Rhinolophus ferrumequinum: one gene and its partner. The protein of the gene in region 1 interacts with the protein of each later gene in a biochemical or structural test. Links are inferred from orthologs where the notes say so. Each region holds a gene or a part of one and is shown on either strand. Other genes may lie near its edges. The genes, in order: JAG1 and NOTCH2.

Evidence for each region.
Region 2: the proteins of JAG1 (region 1) and NOTCH2 form a complex in vitro, tested with the Homo sapiens proteins (2 studies listed by BioGRID). The link is inferred for Rhinolophus ferrumequinum from reciprocal best matches to the Homo sapiens genes JAG1 and NOTCH2.

The regions. Positions count from the first base shown.
Region 1 is NC_046306.1:31,353,155-31,363,027, forward strand, and holds the start of JAG1 (protein jagged-1), read right to left. Parts: upstream 3,833-9,873; 5' UTR 3,357-3,832; coding exon 3,276-3,356; intron 2,868-3,275; coding exon 2,562-2,867; intron 1-2,561. UniProt on the Homo sapiens protein: Ligand for multiple Notch receptors and involved in the mediation of Notch signaling. May be involved in cell-fate decisions during hematopoiesis. Seems to be involved in early and late stages of mammalian cardiovascular development.
Region 2 is NC_046305.1:49,115,505-49,124,511, reverse strand, and holds the start of NOTCH2 (neurogenic locus notch homolog protein 2), read left to right. Parts: upstream 1-5,449; 5' UTR 5,450-6,019; coding exon 6,020-6,092; intron 6,093-9,007. UniProt on the Homo sapiens protein: Functions as a receptor for membrane-bound ligands Jagged-1 (JAG1), Jagged-2 (JAG2) and Delta-1 (DLL1) to regulate cell-fate determination.

The DNA of each region.
Region 1 (9,873 bases):
CCCAGGACTGGAGCTGGGGCAGTGGACACCAAGTGGGACATAATCTGGTACTATCCAGTGGGCAGCCCCACCTCTACAGAGCTGCCCACATGGACACTGGGTGGGGGATTATATTTCATGTCTAACCAAATCATTTCCTCCTCTTCCTCTCCAGAACATGAACAGTTAGTTGTTTGACTGGGGTTGTAATTCCAAACAAGACATGAATTATACAACTTTCTCAACTGAACTTCTACCATGCTCTCTGAACCACAGCAAATTTGGGAGGACCCTGCTGACAGAAATTGTGGCTGCCTAAACCATATATCCTGTGAATCTTGAATTCTGTACCAAGTTCAGTTATTAACTACTCAAGGAAATCAGTTTTAAATAGACACGCTTATTAATATTTAGTTGCCAAACTGAGTGAAGCTGTGCTTATTTACTTCCATACTTATTTGTCTACCTGAGTGCTTTCACGTCAGTTAACACTCACCCTGGAATCATTCTTGAAAAGGTACAGACTGGTGTTTCTCCAACCGCACTCAGGAAAATAAACTAAAACAATACACCTAAACTCCGGTTTCTCTTTGGAAGTAAAGCTTGTATTTCACAGCAGGCCTTTTTGGTGTAGCAGGGTGGAGACTTGTTTATGAGTGATACATGCATTTGGCCCAGCTTCAAAAGAACCACACTCTCAGTGTAGCCCCAGCAGTCTCCCCCATTCTAGAAAGTCTATTTCATGGTTGGTGACCCGTGGGCCTGAAACCACAGACCAGCATCAGGAAATCAATCATCTCTCTGCCCTCACACGCTGCTTCCACTCCACTCCTTCCCCATCCAGGCCTCTCTGCCAAGTGTCAAAAGGGGAAAGACACACCTTCTAGGTCACTTTCCCCAGCCAGCCTGGGGAGCGAGCAAGACTCTGTTTTCATCCATGCCTCCCTCTGACCCTCTTCTCCAAAATGAACCTCAGCCAGGCCTGCAGCTTTTCCATATCACTACTAGGACTCCTTTTATGGTCTTGAGGAAAGTGAGGGGGCTCAGACTGATCCTTCAGCGGGTGGAACCACGTGCAGAACCCTTCCCCCTGAACTCCAAACAGGTTACATTCAAGGGCAAACAGTATTCACAGTCAGATTAAAAATGTGGCGCACCTCTTTAGCTTCAAGTTTTCCCTAATAGGGGATTAACAGACAAGATAAACACGCTCTGTAAAAATGAAATCCCACAACAGAAGCAGCAGCCCCTATTGTCAGAGAACTCCCCATACCACAAGTTTTTATAAGCCCCTTTTAATGGCATGTTTCTGATAACTGTCTTATCTCCTCCACAGCAGAGAGCACTTTACAACGCTAGTTTCTGTAAACGTGGGCCTTGAGGGCCACCCCAAGCTTCACACACAAGACAGACACTCTCCCCTGTTCTCAGAGTTGGGAATCACAGCCCCAGGCTGCGGATAGGAGGCAGCCTAGTGCACCCCATCAGAGCACGTGGCAGAGAGTATTCCCCGCGGCACTGAGCTCCCCCTCCCCTCACCACCCACCCTCTCAGCACAGGCTGAGCCCAGCCCCAATCCTATCAATGAGTCACGCCTCCTGGACAGGAGGAGCAGGGCAGAGGGCACCAACATTTTTCCCTTTCCTCCCCTTCTGCAATCGCGCCCCATCTTCCTTCCAACCATTTCGGGATGTCGCAAGGGCCTTGCTGCACGTTCAGCCAGTGCGGGCCCGGGCCTTGAGCAGCAATCCGGCGCGGGTCCACGTACTGGCACCCGCAGGGACTGCCTCCAGCGGGCCGCCCCTTCCAGGCCCTGGCACGCCCCCGAAAGCTTGAGGGGGCCGCGCGCCCGCCGGACTAGGGCGCACCCCCGCCCTTCCCCGGGAAGTTTGCAAACACAGCTGTTCCAGAGCCCGGGAACCGCTGGAAATAAGGCCACAAGGATACACCGCGCGGGGGCGAGGGCAGGAAGGGGCCGGCAGGGGGCGGAGGCTCCCCGGGCAGCAGCTCGGAGAAGGCCCGAAGAACCACCCCCACCTCCGGGGGCCGCCCCCGCGCCCTTGCGCCTAGCCCGAAGCGCGCCCCCGCACGCACCAAAATCTCCTGGGGAGCAGCGGGAAACGGGTTCCCTCCACACCCTCCAGGAAGGACACACCCGCCCTCCGGGCCGTTCACGGGAAAGGGGAGGGTGCCAATTTGGACCGCGTTCGAAGGCCAGAATTGAGCCAAGTCGCCTTCAACGGCGCATCAGGTTTAATCGATTAAGCAAAGATCATCTATAATGACTCCTGGCTCGTGTGGGGGGAGCGTTATTCTGGGGCCTCCAAGTTGCAAGTTGAAACTGCTTTCCGTGGAGCTTTGCCCCACAATCTCTGGAGTCCCCACTTTTGTGCGCTTCGCAAAAAGCGGCGGGGATGGGGCCTGCCGAATGTTGCTGCGTAACTCCCCACCTTAAAAATCTTCCCGAGTTAGCGCCGCGTTTCAAGCCAAGGCCCTTATATCCCTCTCCCAACAGAAAGCAGCGCTCCGCAGGCGCGGGTGCGAACCTTGCTCCGGCCTCCCACCCAGCGTCCGTCACTCACCGGCCAGGCGAAACTGAAAGGCAGAACGATACGGTTGCGTTCATTGCCGCGACTGGCCTTGAGATTGAAGGTGTTGCCCCCGATGACAGGAGTGGACCCGGAGCCGAAGCTGCACGGCCCCCCGGCCGTGACGCGGGACTGGTACTCCTTGAGGCACACTTTGAAGTATGTGTCACACTCGTCGCGGGCGCACTTGCGGTCCCCCGGATTTCGGGCGCCACCGCAGCAGTTCCCGTTCTGCAGCTCCCCATTCACATTCTGCATGGACAGGATCTCTAACTCGAACTGGCCGGAGGCTCCGCATACCTGCCGGCAAGGGAGGGAGGTCAGCACGGGGGAAAGCTTCCTTCGAGGAGACCCCCTCCCCGCCCGCCCCGACAAGCCCTCGGTACCAAGTGAAAATAATTTTGCAAAACTGGGAGCAGGACTCAACGCGATTCCCAAGCAGAGAACGCACGAGTACAAGAAAAATCCGACGACTGCCCCGGAGGACTAAGAGCGGAGAGAACGCGCCCCGTGCCCGGGCTGGACGATACATTTAGGAGGCCGGGGGCTCCCCCAGCTCAGGTGCAGCCTCGCGGGAGCAGGAGCACGGTCGGGGAGCCAGGCGACCGAGGGCTCCTGACCCCGCTCGCGGCGCTCAACCGCAGGCGTCCAGGGCGCCGCTAAGGAAAAGAGAGGGCGGGCCGGGAGGGAGGCCCAACGGGCTCCTACCTTAGCTCGCAGGGCACAGAGCAGAGCGAGCAGGAGGCTCAGGGGGCGCCCGGGCCGGCCGCGCGTCCGTGGGGACCGCATCGCTGCTCTGCGCGCCGCGGGCTCTCGGGACGCCGCTGCCGCCGCTGCTGTTCGCGCTGGTGTTCCCGCCGGTGCTGCCGTCGCCGCTGCCCCTGCGGCCGCCGCGTCCCGGCTCTAATATACTCCGCCGATTGGAGCATGCACGACTGGAAAACAACACCACTTTTCAAAAGCCTTTTCACGAGCGGCCCGTTCCAGAAGGCAAAGAGCCCGGCCTCCTTTTATTATTCTGATCGCTTCTTTGAGGCGCTCCCCCTCCTCTTCCACCTCCCGGCTTTCTTTCCTTCTCTCGCGTTCCCCTTCTTTTATTATTATGATTATGCGCAGCCTTTTATTCCCTTTCAGATCAGCTGCACAGAAAGGAGGGAGGGAGGGGAGAAAAAAAAAAAACCCTAGCCCAGCTCGCTGGCCGGCCGCAGGTAACACAATGACGCGTGCCCGCCCGGCTCTCGGAGAGGGACTCGGAGAGCCCGTCTGGGAGCCGAGGCCGGGACTAGCCACCTTTACCCAGCGCGCCCGGCAGGCGCATGCGCGCTTGTTAATATTCATGAGGGGCGTGTCCTGGAGGGACACGCCCCTTCCCTCCGGGTTGATGGGTAGGGGGAGTACTGGGAGGAACTTGGAAGGGGTTGGGGGCTCTGGGACTCGCAGCACCTTTTCGACGTCCGGGGGCCCAGTGCAGACCCCCGCCCTCGGGCTCTGGGGGCCAGGCGGGAAGGAGGGGAGGGTGCGGCGAAGAACTTAGAACTGTCTGTTGCTCAGGGACGTCCTGGCCCCACCCGCGCGGACCTCCCCCCTCGGGCGCCTCCAGCCGGGCGCCTCTGCCCGGCCGTCGGGGCCCCAGGTGTAGGCGCCGCGACGCTGCCCGAGCGGTCGGACCGGGGCAGCTTCCGCCTTCCGAGCCGCCTGCGTCAGCTGCGGCTTTCGCCCCAGGAGGGCCTGCCCGCGGGGAGCCCGGCCCGCTTCCCGCGAGCGAGCTAGCCGCCCAGAGCGCGCTGCTGGCGAGAGCAGCGGCAGAGGTGGCGGCGGCGGTGAGGCTGGCGCTCTGGCCGCCGTCTGCTCGCCCGGCGGAGGCGACCTGGGCAGGCGCTGCTGGGAACTTTGAAAAACTTTCCCGGAGCCAGGCTTGCCGCAGATTCGAGGGGAAGCCTTGGCCGCGCCCAACCCCCTCCCTAATCCGAGCTGCGGAGCCTTGGAGGGCTCTCGGCTTCCTTTCCAAGCCGCACAAGAGCAGAGGCGAGGGGAAACCGGGGGAGGGAGGCAGGCACGCAGGGGCCCTGCTCGGGCTTTGGGAGGGGTAGGCCGAGATAGTGGCAGGCTTGGGCTCACACCCTCCCAGCTCCGCGGCCCAGGCCGCGCAGTGCCGGGATTGCACCTGTAGGCGGCCTCCGAGCAGCTTTCTGGGTGGCAAGAGATGAGCCTGAAAGGGACCATCTCGCCACCATCGCCCGGCAGCAGAACTTGGCTTCTCTGGGGTGACAGTGTAAACTAATGCTACTTTCCACCTTGAGGCGAGCCTCCCAATTAACAGCGACACTCCGGGTCATAACCAAGGTCAAAGGAAACCTGTGGGCTGGCCGAATCCTCTCCCAACCCCTCTCCTAGCGGACCTGCTGCTGCGTTTGAGGGGACCTCTTTAGGGAAAAGACTGATTTCCACTAAAGAGTGGGCTGGACAGTCTTGGTCCTTGTATTGGGTACGTACTACGGAAAAGCGTGACTATTTAGGATGGTTTAGGAATCTTGGAATTTCAACAGTCCAAAAAGTGTACCTAAGAAACGTACCTTCTTAATGGTAATGGGTCCCATCTAATGCTCATTGGTGAGAGAATTAAAAAACCATATTTTCAAAAGGGCATATCCAAGAGCAGAACAAGTTTGCAGCTGGCATAGGCACTAGCAACCTGCGCGTTTTGTTTTAATGTGCCCAGTTCTCACTTTCTCCAATTAAACTAAATGCAAAGCATCTAGTTGTCAACTGTATTTCTATATAGCCGTTTCTTACCAGTTTCCATTAACCATCTTCCCTACCTCCACTCTGCCCGCTTCTCACCCCCATCTACAAATTTCCCCTAATTAGGGTGCTAAGTAATGGTTTAAATGCAAAATGCTGGTGCTGATAAAAGCATAATTCATGAAGGCTGGTGAGGTCTTAAAATGCAAATCCCTTGGAGTTCCCCAGGCCTGAACCTGTTTTAATTCTGTGTCCGCAGGCCTATCCTCCACACATCCCTCAGGAAGGAGGCTGTGGAGTCAGGCCTTTAGTGGAGTTTAGATCCAGCCACCTGACTTAACCCAAGAGGGCTACCTGAGAGTGCAGGTACCTCCAGGTATCTATCCATCTGGGCTGCACGTAAAGCTGGGTCGGCTCCAAGCTACAGGTGAGTTTAGCCCCCTTGACTAATAAGAATTGACCATAGATTTCCCAAGGGTCGAAACTAACAAGCCTAACAAGTGTCAAATCACTAACAAACACAAAATTCTCATGCCAAATAGCACAGTATCCCTCACCCTCCCTGAGCTTGGAAACCCACTTTTAGAGAAGACAGTTGTGGGCTTGATGGGATTCTCTGAAAATTTTCAGTTGGGACTCTTCCAACTAATTGGTACTCCCCCAAAAAGCCAGTCACATTTATTGCGACACAAGTGGAAGCTTATCCTTCACTTCCTAGCAGCCAGTTCTCAGCCTCTGTGGCGAATGGGGAACTACTGTAGAAAGAACTCAAATATGCAGATTCTCCCTTGGCCAGGTCACATCCTGCCTTTGGGTAGAGCCAAAGTAAGTGAACATTCCAGAAAAAACATTCCTGTGAAAAATGCCGCATTGAGCCATCACACCTACACCTGTGAAGAGGCAAGGCTGCAGTCAGTTACTGTCTGGCCTGTATCATGTGCTCAAACCGTAACTATCTGTGAGTATCTTCTTTAACTTTAAAAAGATGATACCTCATTTTTCTTTTTCCACAAAACTTGCCCTACTTTTATTGAGTCATCAACAAACAGCAGTGCTGAACCCCCTCCCCGACCCCCCCCAAAGGCATAATAAAAGATGTTCAAGCTCTTATGATTGTATTTAAATACAATTAGTCAACATAAAGCCCTGGTTAATCAACATTGATAAAAAGCAAATCAATATTCATTGAGAACTAGGTTATATGCACAAACGTGAATGGTCTCAAAAATATGCTGAGTGACAAGCTAAGCAAAAAAAGACTACATACTGTATGAATCCATTTGTATGGAGTTCTAGAACAGGCAAAACTAATCTATGGTAAAAAAATAAAGAGTGATTGGAGATAGAGGAGGGTGGAGACAACTGGGATGGGCTGGAGGCCTCTTGTGGGGCAGAGGTAATGTTCTGTATCTTGAGGGTTTGGGTTACACAGGTGTACAAATGTGTGTGTCAAAATTCAGTAGTACACTTAAGATTGGTGTATTTCTCATGTTCAAAAGAAAAAAAATTTGTAATATTCAAATTGACTTAATTATATGAGTGCTGAAGTGTTCAGAAGGAACTGAAAAGATTTTCAACTTGGAAATGCATTGGAATTAGATTGATGGATGCGTAGAGGATGGCTGACTAGGATAGATGCTGAAGCAAAATAAATGCTAATGATTGGATCCAGGTGGTGGGCATGGCAGTAGTTAAATTTTTTCAAATTTCTCTATGTTTGAAAATTTTCACTATAAAATGTTGAGGAAAATAGTTATTGATGGACCAGATATTGTGTAGGATGCAAAGACTATAGTGGACAACACAAAATATTGCACTACAGAGTGGAGGGCATGCTTGTAAGGGATGATAGTGCAGATTACAGTAAAGAACAAAAGGAACTTGGTTCTTTTCCTGCATTCCTTTCTTCCTAATTCCTTTCTTTTTCCAATAAATAAGAGAAGAAGGTCAAATATAAAGGGGCATGTAAATGTCCTTTAATATTTTCCCTTTTCTTTGTTTGAATATTGCAGAGACATTCAGGCAAGTTCACAAGCCCTATTCCGTGGAAAAGCAGATGTGACATCTTTCTGTCCCTTTCCAGCAAAACCAAAGGATACTGATGTGTCTGTCCTATGAGTTCTTTTCTTGTTCCACCGCATTATCATCGCCGAAAATGCCAGCCCCCATAACTCTGCCCAGCCAGTTCCCCACGGAAGCACAGCCACCTGTGGGGATTACTCTCCTTCCACATCACAAGACATTCTCAAGAAGAAGAGGGGTAAAAAATGATCTATGGGCAACAAACTAGACAAAATTAGATATTAAAAAATCAGAATTAAGTTGTAGCTCTCATAGTAACCATAACCAGGCCACAAGTTTATATATTCAAGCATAAATTGAGTAAATCCAACCTTTTTTTTTTTTTTTTCAAAGCTTCATTTTGCATACACAAGAGATTTGAATTAATTTTCTTTGGAAACCAGAACTATAAATTTTTTGTACTATCAACAGTAATTTTGTATGAGCCTTCTTTTAAATATTGTTTTGGTTTTGCTTTGAGCTCAGGTATTTATAGTTTTGTCTGTCCTGCCCCCACTCTGTCTCACGGTCATTACATGGAAACCTGTCAGGAAAAATAATTATGTGTCCACATTGGCTTTAACAAGCCAATCACAGACAGTCACAAAAGAACCCAAGATGTGAGTAAAATCCAGGAACCGTAGGACTAATTTCCTCATTTTACCCCTTGAATTAAAACTAAAGATTCTTTATGGTTTCTCATAGGTTTTTGGAGCTAGGAAGAAAAAGTTCCACTTAGAAAATGTACTTTTTTTTACAGTTGAGTCTTTGGAAATAAAAAAAATCCTGCTGTTAAATTGGCAATCTCAACACAACTGTAAATGATTCAGTCACCCTCCTCCTTGTGGTGATGGACTTAAGAGTTGTCTGTTCTGCTGTGAATGACGCCTAAATGACTTGACCCATAGATATTCTGGGATAGCATTTTTTAAAAACCAAATCGGTCCATTTGTATAGTTGATTGATCTAAATGCAACTAACAGTTGTCTATAATTTCGAAGTGTGACTGAGCACTCACAATCCTTTTCATCCCCTAAAAGGCTTTGGAGACTATACTTCCAGAAGCAGGTAGCATTGGGAAATGTAGGGGTCAGAGTGTGTGTCACTGGACTGTGCTACCCTAGAATGCAGATTATTTTGAATTGAAATAAATTAAAGCCCAACAAACTTACTTCCCCTTTTCCTTAAAGAGATTCAGATTTAAAACAAAAACAAGAAAAGCATACCTGCTTCAGGAAGGGAACTTTGGCTTAATCAGTTTAAGCATTTCCACCCTAGCATTAGTCAGGAAGACTCCAAACATATTTACCAGGTTACCCCCTGTGTCTCATTGTTTCTGAGTTGCCTAGCAAAAATTTACCTGCCCCGTGTTTACTGCTCTTCCTCAATTAGCTGTGAATCCCTCATTCTCACTTCTGAAATCTAAGACCCCGTTCCCCCCTTTTCTCCATTGTCCAAAATGTCATGTTTACCCAATGTTGCCTCACTGGCTTTGGAATTTTCATGCTTATGTTAATTCCCCCACGCGCATGTATTAAACATTTGATTTTCTCCTGTTAATCTGTCTCAATTTGATTAGCTCAGCTAGAAGAACTTAGAGTGAAAGGAAAAGTAGTTTTGTTTTTAGCCCTCATAGAAACTACCACAATACACTTCAGTCTATGAGCACCTTTTCATCTCTTTTGCATTCAGCTTTCCAAACATGAACAAACGCAAATCTGTCTCCAGATCTTTAAAAAAAATTTTTAAATCAAAGTAATTGTTGGAACTTGCAAAAAGGAGAGCTAAATATATTCAGTTATCTGAGAAAATTTCAAAACATACATAAATGCGAGAGTCAAAGAAAGGTGATTACACCTGCCAGCAACACAAAAGCCACAGGGTTTTGAATCCCTGTATTTCATGTTTGGGTTAATGGTTCTCAATAAATTACAAGACTGTGTCTGTGTTTGACACTTTTGTTCTCAAGCCAATGGTTTCTTTACTGATGGCTTTCTCTAAATTAGAAGTTATTAAGAACATAAAAAGTGGGTGATTGCAAAGCTTAAGTTTAAATTTTCATTTGGAAGGTAAGTAGTTGTTTTTATTATTGTTTTTATGCCAAGAGCACTCGAGGATGCTAAAGAAACATTAGCTTGAGCAGAGAAATATTGGCACAAGTGCTACCTATAAATTTCTAGATCCTTAGTAGTCATAGCTACAGGTTTACCAATACACAGATTTCCATAAGCATTCAGAAATGATTTCTAAAGATTTTCTTTTGGAAATAAAACTAAGAGACAGAAAACTTAGAATGACTATACAGGAGAAAATTTAATTTCTAAAAGATGGCTTACATCCATGGAAGTGATATTTTTTCAAAGGCAAGTGCAAACTAGAGAAGTCAATGACATTATTTTAGGGTAGTTTGGCAGTAATTCATGTAAAGTGGAGCTAGGGATTTTAATAGGCCACACGTGTAATATGCCTTAATGGTATAATGCAGCTACTAAGAAGAGTAAGG
Region 2 (9,007 bases), on another chromosome or scaffold:
TCTGGAGATTGACTCGTGCCTTCTGGAACTCGTCCTCTGGTTGGCTGCACCTGGTAGACCTCAACATATGCATTCCCTCTGGGCTCTATGTGAGGCGAAGAACCAGCTATGGTGGGTGGGGTTTACAACCACGAGTAAGAGAGAGTTCCTGTGGTCACACTGTTTATAGTCCAGGGGTGTGGGGACAGAGCCAGGAGTGCAGTTTCCAGGCTCTCGGCCTCATGTGGAAAGGTGCTGGCTCAGGTAGTAAATGGCCATCAACTGTGATTGGATGGCCATCAGCTGTGGCTAGTTGGCCGTCAGCTGTAACCAGTGAGCCATTGGCCACTAATATAACTGCTGTGGCTATACTAGCAGGAAAAGGGGGGCTAGCAAGAAGACGGTGGCTGAGCTAGCAAGCGCGGATTGCAGCTAGCAAGTGGGGTTGGTTGTCAGAGCGAAGTGGACGGTGGGTTGCAGATCGTGTGGCTCCTGTTTCCTGTGTCTCCAGCCCAGCCGCCAGCGAGACTATAGTGGTATGACTCCCCCATCTATGGCTCCGTGGGTGTTCTTTTTGGCCTCACCATGTCCTGCGTTCTTACGTGGGGAGCGGGACCAGAGACCCCGCAGGCCACCTCGGTCCATTCAGATCTTGCAGGCTGGGGACAGGACAAAATGAAAGTGGCCTTAGAATTAACCACAGTGCTGTCCACTGTCCCATGGCTCTGTGCGTTGTCTCTGTTGTAGTTATATTGTTTATCTGTTGACCCCCACCCTCCACTGTGCACTGTGATCTCCTGAGAATAGGAGCTGCAGCTGGTTCATGTCTGTATTGCCACAGTCAAGGGTGTGCTTTGCAGAGGGTAGACTCCCTCACAATTCCATTAAATCAAAGAATGCATTTCTAATGACAGTGGGTCAGCTTGTTCTGTACCAATATGGCAGTGATAAGAAGCTGGTGGACCTTTGCCCAGAGGTTCCTACACTAAAAATTGTCTTGGACGAGCGTCACTCTGTTGCAGAAAGAAACCGTGGACTGAGACTGAATCAGAAGTCAGACGTAGGGGGGTTTGTCTCAGCTCTGTCACTAACTACTTATTCAACCTCAGGCAAGACACCTAAACTCTCAGTTTCCTCATCTGGGAAATGGGGATAATAATGACTGGCTTGGCTATTTCCCACGATCGCTTTGAGAATCAAATGAGATAATAACTTAAAAGTGTTTTTTAGAAAGCCTAAAGCACTGCACAAATGGAAGGCATTGTTTTGCAAAGAAACCTTTCTTTTCATTCCTGTGTCCCTGGACACTTCATCACACACCGCTGGGTTCCTGGGTTATGTGCTGAGACGTGTGGAGTAGCTCAACCTAGGCTTGATGTGGACCCCAGAATCTGTTCTGCAACATCTATAGTGTTTACCTGATGCATCCTGGAATGCTCCAGAACCCCTGGACATTCTGTCACGCTCTCCAATTCACACGGCTATACACGCCCCTCATTCCACGTTTATTTAAAACTCACATTGTTGTGCACGTCTGTGCACGAACGACCGTGCTAGGAACTGAGGCAAAATAGACAAATAACACAGTCTCTCTGCCCTTGAGGGGTTTTACAGCCTCCTGGGTCTGAGAGAACAGACATGAGAACAAAGTAAGTGCCAATTCTGCATTTGTCTTGGGGAGACAACTTTACATGTGAATTTTAATTAATAAAGACATACATGCATATTTTCAGTTTCAACTACAACGAAAACTAGGGGTGGCCCTTATTCATGTTTTCTATTATTAATAGTCTGTAGATTTTAATGTGAGCTTGGAGATTGAGAAAAAAAAATTTTTTTCCAGATCAGTGAAGCTATGGAACTTGAAGAGCAATCACTGTGATTAGTTATAGGATCACCTGGTAGTTTTCCTGCCAATTTCTCCTATAAAGTAGAACTTGCTTTGACTCAAAGCAGTGTCTATGGGGAAAACCATTCCGCACTCCAGTTGAGCCGTTAAAACTGCAGAGCACGTTTGGGCCTGAAATCTCCAGGCACATCCTGACATTTCATGGCCTCAGCTGCTACTCCTGTTTTGAGACAGCACCACAAGACCCCCTGATTTCTGCTAGGGATCGGGGAACCAGTCACCTAAACGCACATAGTGGAATTTAGGCTTAGCTTGCGGGAGAGCTCAGTAGTAGGAAGCCTATTTCAACGCGGTTCCATCCTTTAAATCAGTCAGGCTCCTCCAGCTCTCGCAAAAGCAGTCAACAGCCACTGCTGCTTCTGGAGAACGCAGTTTCCCTCTTCCAGCTCCATCGATTTCTTATCTTGCCTGCTTATTTAATCTACCAAACCTCCTTTTCCTTCTCCTGTGTTTTCTATATCCGGGAGTAGCTCACCAAGCCTCAGGATATGGAAGTCATTGCTGATGGCCCATCCACCTTTCCTCTCTCATCTAAGTGGGTACTAACTTTAGGAGCCAAAGCCCGGCTTTTCTGCATTCCCACGGCCCCTGCCTAAGTCCTTGCCTTCCCACTTTAGGGAACAGGCTCTGGTCTCTATTGTTCACCAGCCTCCGTACTTGTTGCAAAGAAAGCTCTCTTTTAATTCCTGCTTCGGCAAACACTTCATCACACATCCCTGGGTTATGTGCTGAGATGCGTGGTGTAGCTCAACCTAAGCTTGATATGGACCCCAGAATCTGCCTGGAAGAGTTTAGGCCACTGAACAGGAGAAGTCTCCTCTTCCTCTTTACCTGATTAATCGTTTGGTCCTCTACTTCTTAGACCAGCTGTTGAGATCTTCCCGGAAGCCTTCCCTGATTGCCCCTGGGCGGAGACAGGTCACAGTCCCTCAGCTGTCACACTGGGTCTTAATTGTTGATTACTCATCTTTCTGGCTTTATCCCTGGACTGCTCATACCAGAACTGGCCCACAGTAAATACTCATCCAAATGCCAGTTGACTTACTGGTTCTCAACTCTCAGTCTTTGTCAATTCCAGTTTCTTCCCTTGATTTTCAGCTCCCCCTTTTTTTGTTTTCTTTTTTACCAATTTATATCCATAGCTTCCTTCAAAACATATTTTTAAAAACATCTCCTCCATCATACCCTTCTCCTACTTCCCTTCATAACATTTTACTCTTTACTCTCCTTGTCCTTATGGGGAATGTATGCAATAAGTCTAACGTTATAACAAATCCCACACAAGTTATTACACATGTAACATAATGATCGCTTTCTTTCAAAGAGTCACCTTGAGAAATTCCGCACCTATTGTCATAGTGATGTCACAGCCAGTCGTTTCCAGACCTGCTCTTTGGGGATGATGACATTTACATCCTTCTGAATATATCTCAATAGGGACAAATTTAATCTTTGTAGGTGGTTTTTAAAATTTGTATACAGCCAAGTCACTACGAACTATATTTAGTGAGGAAAGAGAACGATCAAGCTGGTAACTATCAGTCAGCAGCTAAACCGTCCTGTTATTATCTTTCTCTGAACATATTTGCACAAGGGAAATTCCAAAACAATTGGACTGTGTTGTTTTTGCAAAGAGTTTCTAGCATCCCAAGGTGACTAGTTTCACTCATAACACTTGCTTATCTATTATAAAGTGCTTATGAAAATCCGGTTGGGAACTTCAGAGGCCGCTGATCATACTGCTTTGTGCTTGTTCAGTGCCATTTTACCTTCTAGTTCAACATCTATTATGGGCTGGGCTCTGGGAACGAATGAGGCCGTGGGCCTTACCCGTCGGGACCTCCTGATCTAGAGGAAAAGATAGAAATACAGACAGTCCTGTGTGAAAAATAGAGATGAGTGTCAGATAAAGAAGCAGGACAGTGGAGGGACTGTCTGTCCGAGGTAGGAATTGGTTACAAGGTCGGCAAAGCCTTCTCAGGGCTGAAGGATAAATGATTAGAAGTTCAAGAGGAGGAGGGGAGGGGACTACAAGTCATTCCGCGTCAAGGGAACAGAAGGTACAGAGACTGAAGGAAGGAGATATGTTTGGGGGGGAATCTCAACTCATGCAATACTGTTATTGTGTAAAGTTCACAATGGGGCAGAGGGGACAAGCGAGGGGGCCCAGGGAAGGGAAGGCCTTGTATTGACCATTTTTAGAAGTTTGGACTTTGTCCTCTAGGAGCCCGGGAGAGGCTCTGTGGGTAGGATTTCCCTTCCCGACAGGATCGTAAACCTCCACATCCAATTAGTCACATTGGGTTGCCCCACCCGCGTCTTTTCCTTTTTCTTTTTCTTCGAGATTGTCCCCAGTCCATCCCTCCCTTTCTATTTTGACATCTACCTCAGTAGTGCAGGCCTTCATCAGCCATGCCCGCCTGGACTGTTTCACAAACTCCTCACTAGCCCTCGGACTCCCGTTCGTTCACCTTTTGCGCCTGACAATTTTGCGCAGGATTATCAGAGCAACCTTCCTTTCCATCAAGTCTCACTCCTGTGCGAAGACCTTCAATGGTTTTTCTATGACCTGAGAGATAACTATCCCCCCTTCCTACCCACCCCTCCCTCTTTTTCAGCTTGTCGTTCAGGGTCCTGGTCCCGACCCCCTTTCCCTCCTTGACTCCTGTCACTGCGAATAGTGCCAGAACTCATCTACTTCTTCCCTTATCTGTACCCTTTTATGGGGGCTCTCCCAGAGGAGAATGTTACGGCCACACCAACTTTTTCTTGGATTTATTTCAACTCTTTTCTTACAAAAACCAAGCCCACTTGTACGCATGCCTGATTCCATCCCTCATTCTCCTGCGCTGGAAGTAACCGCTATGCTGGTTATATTCTTTTACTATATACTGTGTGGTGTGCATTCATAAATAATCTATGGCATTGTTTTGAAATATAAATAGATATACATGGTATACTTTATATCTCCTTGTGCAATTGGTTTTTTCACTACCATTTTATTTTTGAAATGTATTTCTATTGGCGTATATGAACATGCTCTTTCAATTGCTGTGTATTTTATTTTCTAAATATACGATACATTATCCATCCTTTCCTCTATGGGTGGGCATTGAGGCTGTTCCCCATGTTTGGTATTGCCAACAATGTTACAATGAATATCCGTAGCTGCTCTCCTCGTCCTTACAAATTTTCCTAACCTTTCAAAATCCTGCTCTCATCCCAGTTCTTCCATGAAAGCCTACCCACTGCAGCAACGTCTAAATCCTCAAAAGTAGCTTGAGCATCATGAGACTTTAGTACCATTCCTACGGTGCCCAGCAAAGTAAGGCGCTTAAGAAACATTTGCTAAACGAGTGAATGAATGCGTGAAGAATGAATGAATGAATGAATGAATGAATGAATGAGGCAGCACAACCCAGCTGATGGCTCTGTTCATTTTAAATGGGCTTTGGCGCCCTGGCCCCCATTTCCTTCTGTGACAGCACAGGCCGTCCGCCGCATTCCTCCGGCCACCCCGGGGTGTGTGGATGTGTGTGTGTGTGTGACACGGGCGATCCCTGGCTCCCTGGATGAGGGCCGGCTCTCCGGGCAAGTTCACGATCTCAGTGCCCCTAGCGTCTGAAGTTCAGCGTCCTAACACCCACCCCTGTTGGCAGAGGCCGGGCCCAGCGAGGCGCTCCAGCGCTGAAGGCGTTAAGGCGCGTCGGGACTCGACGCGGGCCGGGCCGGCGGCCGAGGCTGAGGACTCGTAGTAGATCCCTCCGCGCGCGGCTCGGCCGGCGCTTCTTCCTGCGGGAAACCCCTGGGCGCCGCAGGCGGCCGCCGGCCTGGGCGGCAGGGGGCGGGGTTTGCGGTGGGAGGAGGCGGCCGAGGCGGAAGGACACACGAGACTGCACACTCGAGAAAGTTAGAGCCGAACTTCGGGCGGCGGCTGAGGCGGCGTCCCGGGCACGGCTGACTCGGGGTGCGGGGAGTGGAGGCGTCTAGCCTGAGCTTCGGGGCCAGCGCGAGGCCGGGCGCCACCGGGGCGGGAGGAGGAGCGCAGAAAGTGGGGGCTCCTCTGTTGGGACCCCCTCTCCATGTGGATCTGCCCAGGCGGCGGCGGCGGCGGAGGAGGCGACCGAGAAGATGCCCGCCCTGCACCCCGCGCGGCTGTGGGCGCTGCTGGCGCTCTGGCTGTGCCGCGCGGCCCCTGCGCGTGGTGAGTATCGGGCCCGGGGGTGCTGTCCCCGCGCCCTGGTCGCGCACCGCCGCCCCCGCCCGGCCATCTGGGGCGCCCGGTCCCCCCCTTTGGTCCCCTCCGTGCGAGAAGGCCGGGCTCTGCCGCCGGCGCGGATTGAGGCCACTGGGTTCCAGAAAGTTGGGGCATCGTGGGGGCCCCCTGAGCGCGCCCCTGCCCCCGCGCTCCCCGCCGCCGCCTGTTCCCTGCGGCCGGTGGCCCCACACACGCCTCCTTGGCCGGAGGGAGGCCGGGCAGCGAGGCTCAGAAACTCCCCTTCGTGGGCGCTGGAGTTCTAGGAGTTGGGCAGTCTTGCCCTTTTGGTTCCGCGTTTCCTGGGGTTGAAGGGGAACCGAGGGCGGGCTGCCTGCGACAAACCCCCGCTGGCCGCCGACCGCAAAGGGGCTGAGCGGAGGAATGCCAGGTTCTGGCGTGGGGGGGTCGGCGAGGGCAGGGCCTCCCAGCCCAACGGCTTGCACCTTCACGGCCACCAGTAGCTGTGCCAAAGGGGAGGCACGCAGTCCGGGTGGGTGGGGTCGGTTTGGATGGGGCCAGGGTTTCGCGGGGCGCCCGAGTCTGACACTCCGAATCCACGGGCGGGACGAATCCGATGTGTTGCACGGGGCCTTTGAAAGGTGGAGGCAGGAACAGTAGGAGAACTGGTGGGGCTGCACGCTGGGCCACAGGATTTAAAAATCTCAACTGCTGTTATTCTTTCCGAGGCGCGCAGCTCAGGCGCTATTGCGGTCTGTGTCCAGCCCCAGGAATGTGGTGTGACGATCACCAACTCCTCTAACCTGGCAGCCGGATTTGCTGCTCTTTTGGCAGGTTGGGGGTGGGGCATGGGTGGGTGAGGAACAGTGGAGAGGGTCATTCAAAGTGCTGCCTTCGCAGGCCTCTTTCGGGTTGGATATGTGCGACAATTTCTGAACGCGGTTGGACCAAGGAAAGGAAATGCAGTCATTCCTTACCCATCCCACCCACAATTTCAGATTCCAAGTTTCCTCCGACCGGGTAGTGGAAGGCGCTTGGGTTTTGGAGCTTCATAAATAATCCTGGGTTCAAATCCAGCTCCGCTCTATGAACGCCCCCAATAAAATGGGAATGAAATTACCCAGCTAATAGGATTCCTCAAGAGAATGGTGTATTAAACCCATGGCAGTCAAAAGGTGTTCCGAAAGGGCAGGGCTGGGTTTTGGTTTTCTCTGAATCTCTGCTTCCAGTGGGATGATAGCTTGTGTCTGTTTGTGAAGCCGCAAGCGGCCCCTGCTTTTCCTAGCCTAATATGAAGGAGTATTTTACCTTGACCAAAAAACTGGTACATGAGCTATGTCTCTTTACAAAGAAAAGGTTAAGAAGATGATGAGCTTCAGAAAAATTTGCTCTTTGTTCACTTGCAACAGGCGGGGGACCTGTCCATCATCGATGTTGGAAAGAGAACAAGGTTATTTATCACCGTGCTGGGCTGTTCAGCACCAACGACTGTGTTTCCCTGAAAATAAAACCTAGCCGGTTAATCAGCTCTAATGCGTCTTTTGGAGCAACAATTAATATAAGACCCGGTCTTATTTTACTATAAGACCCGGTCTTATCTAACATAATATAAGACTGGGTCTTATATTAATTTTTGCTCCAAAAGACACATTAGAGCTGATTGTCCGGCTAGGTCTTATTTTCCAGGAAACACAGTAGGTCCTTGGGAAGTTCATATTCCATACAACTCTAGGTCCCTAAGAATTTAAGAAGTGGGCCAGGGGCTGATGTGATGATGATCGAAACTGTTGTTTCAGAAGCATTTAACAAAGCACGTAAATGGTGTTTTTGCCTTTCCTTTTTCTTTGAGTGGAAAGCTTTAGTATAAGTCTAGATTTAGGATAGAGAGGAGTATAAACAACGGGTTAGTTTGAGAGTTACAATCCTTGGTCTACCACTAACTTGTTTTAGTAAAGAACTCAACCTTCATGATTTGTAGGCTCCTCACCTATGGAATAGAAATACAGAAGCAACCTATTTCAGACAGTTGGAGGGAATAAGAAATATGATTGCAGAGATTTGCAAAATTAAGTGTGAAATGATAAGACGGATGTCAGCCTTCTCTCATTCTAGAACCTCAGTATATAGAAAGACATCCTTTTTTATACTTCTGCACTGATGAGGTATTGCTATGACTAACTTTTAGGTGGACAAATTGAGTGTTAGTCAATTAGTTCAAAGGACAAGATTTAAATATTTTGATTTTTAGGCAGGTGTTCTTCTGGTGCTAAACTGCAATAGAAGAGATTAGAAACTTGTTTCTTAGTACAAATCTTAAACCTTTTTCAGAGTCTGGCAGTGAAGCCTTCTTCAGTCTTCTTAATCTTCTACTATCATTTGTGTTTTGCCAAGGTACCAATTGTAACACACCCTTCCCAACTTTTGAGTGTTCCTGCGTTTGGCTTGTGGCCAATTGTTAATTTAAACATCACTGAGTTCCTAAAGCAAAGAGCTGTCAACCCATCTGTCTGATTGTCTAAACAGCTATCCAAGACCACCCTTTTCTCCTTGTTTTCTTTTGCTGTGCAATGTGAAGTGACTCCCTGGTTTTACAGCCTGCTAGATAATTTCTCAGCCACATTCTTCCCTTGCTTAAAAAAAAAAAAAAAATCACAAAGAGTAACTGTTGTTGTGTGTGCGTTTTTTTTTTTTCCAGATGGAGATGAAATTCATCCCAAAACTATTTTCCTTTATCTTTCTTGTTCTTTCTATAGTATTATTCGTTTTGGGGGTGGGGAGAGAAGGATAGGAAAGAGAGGGATTATTTCTAGTCTCTCTTTTCTGTTTCCTGATGGTTTGATTTTTAAAAATATCTACTCACATCTCCTTGGCATCTGTCAGCCCCATTCCCTCTCTACTGCCTC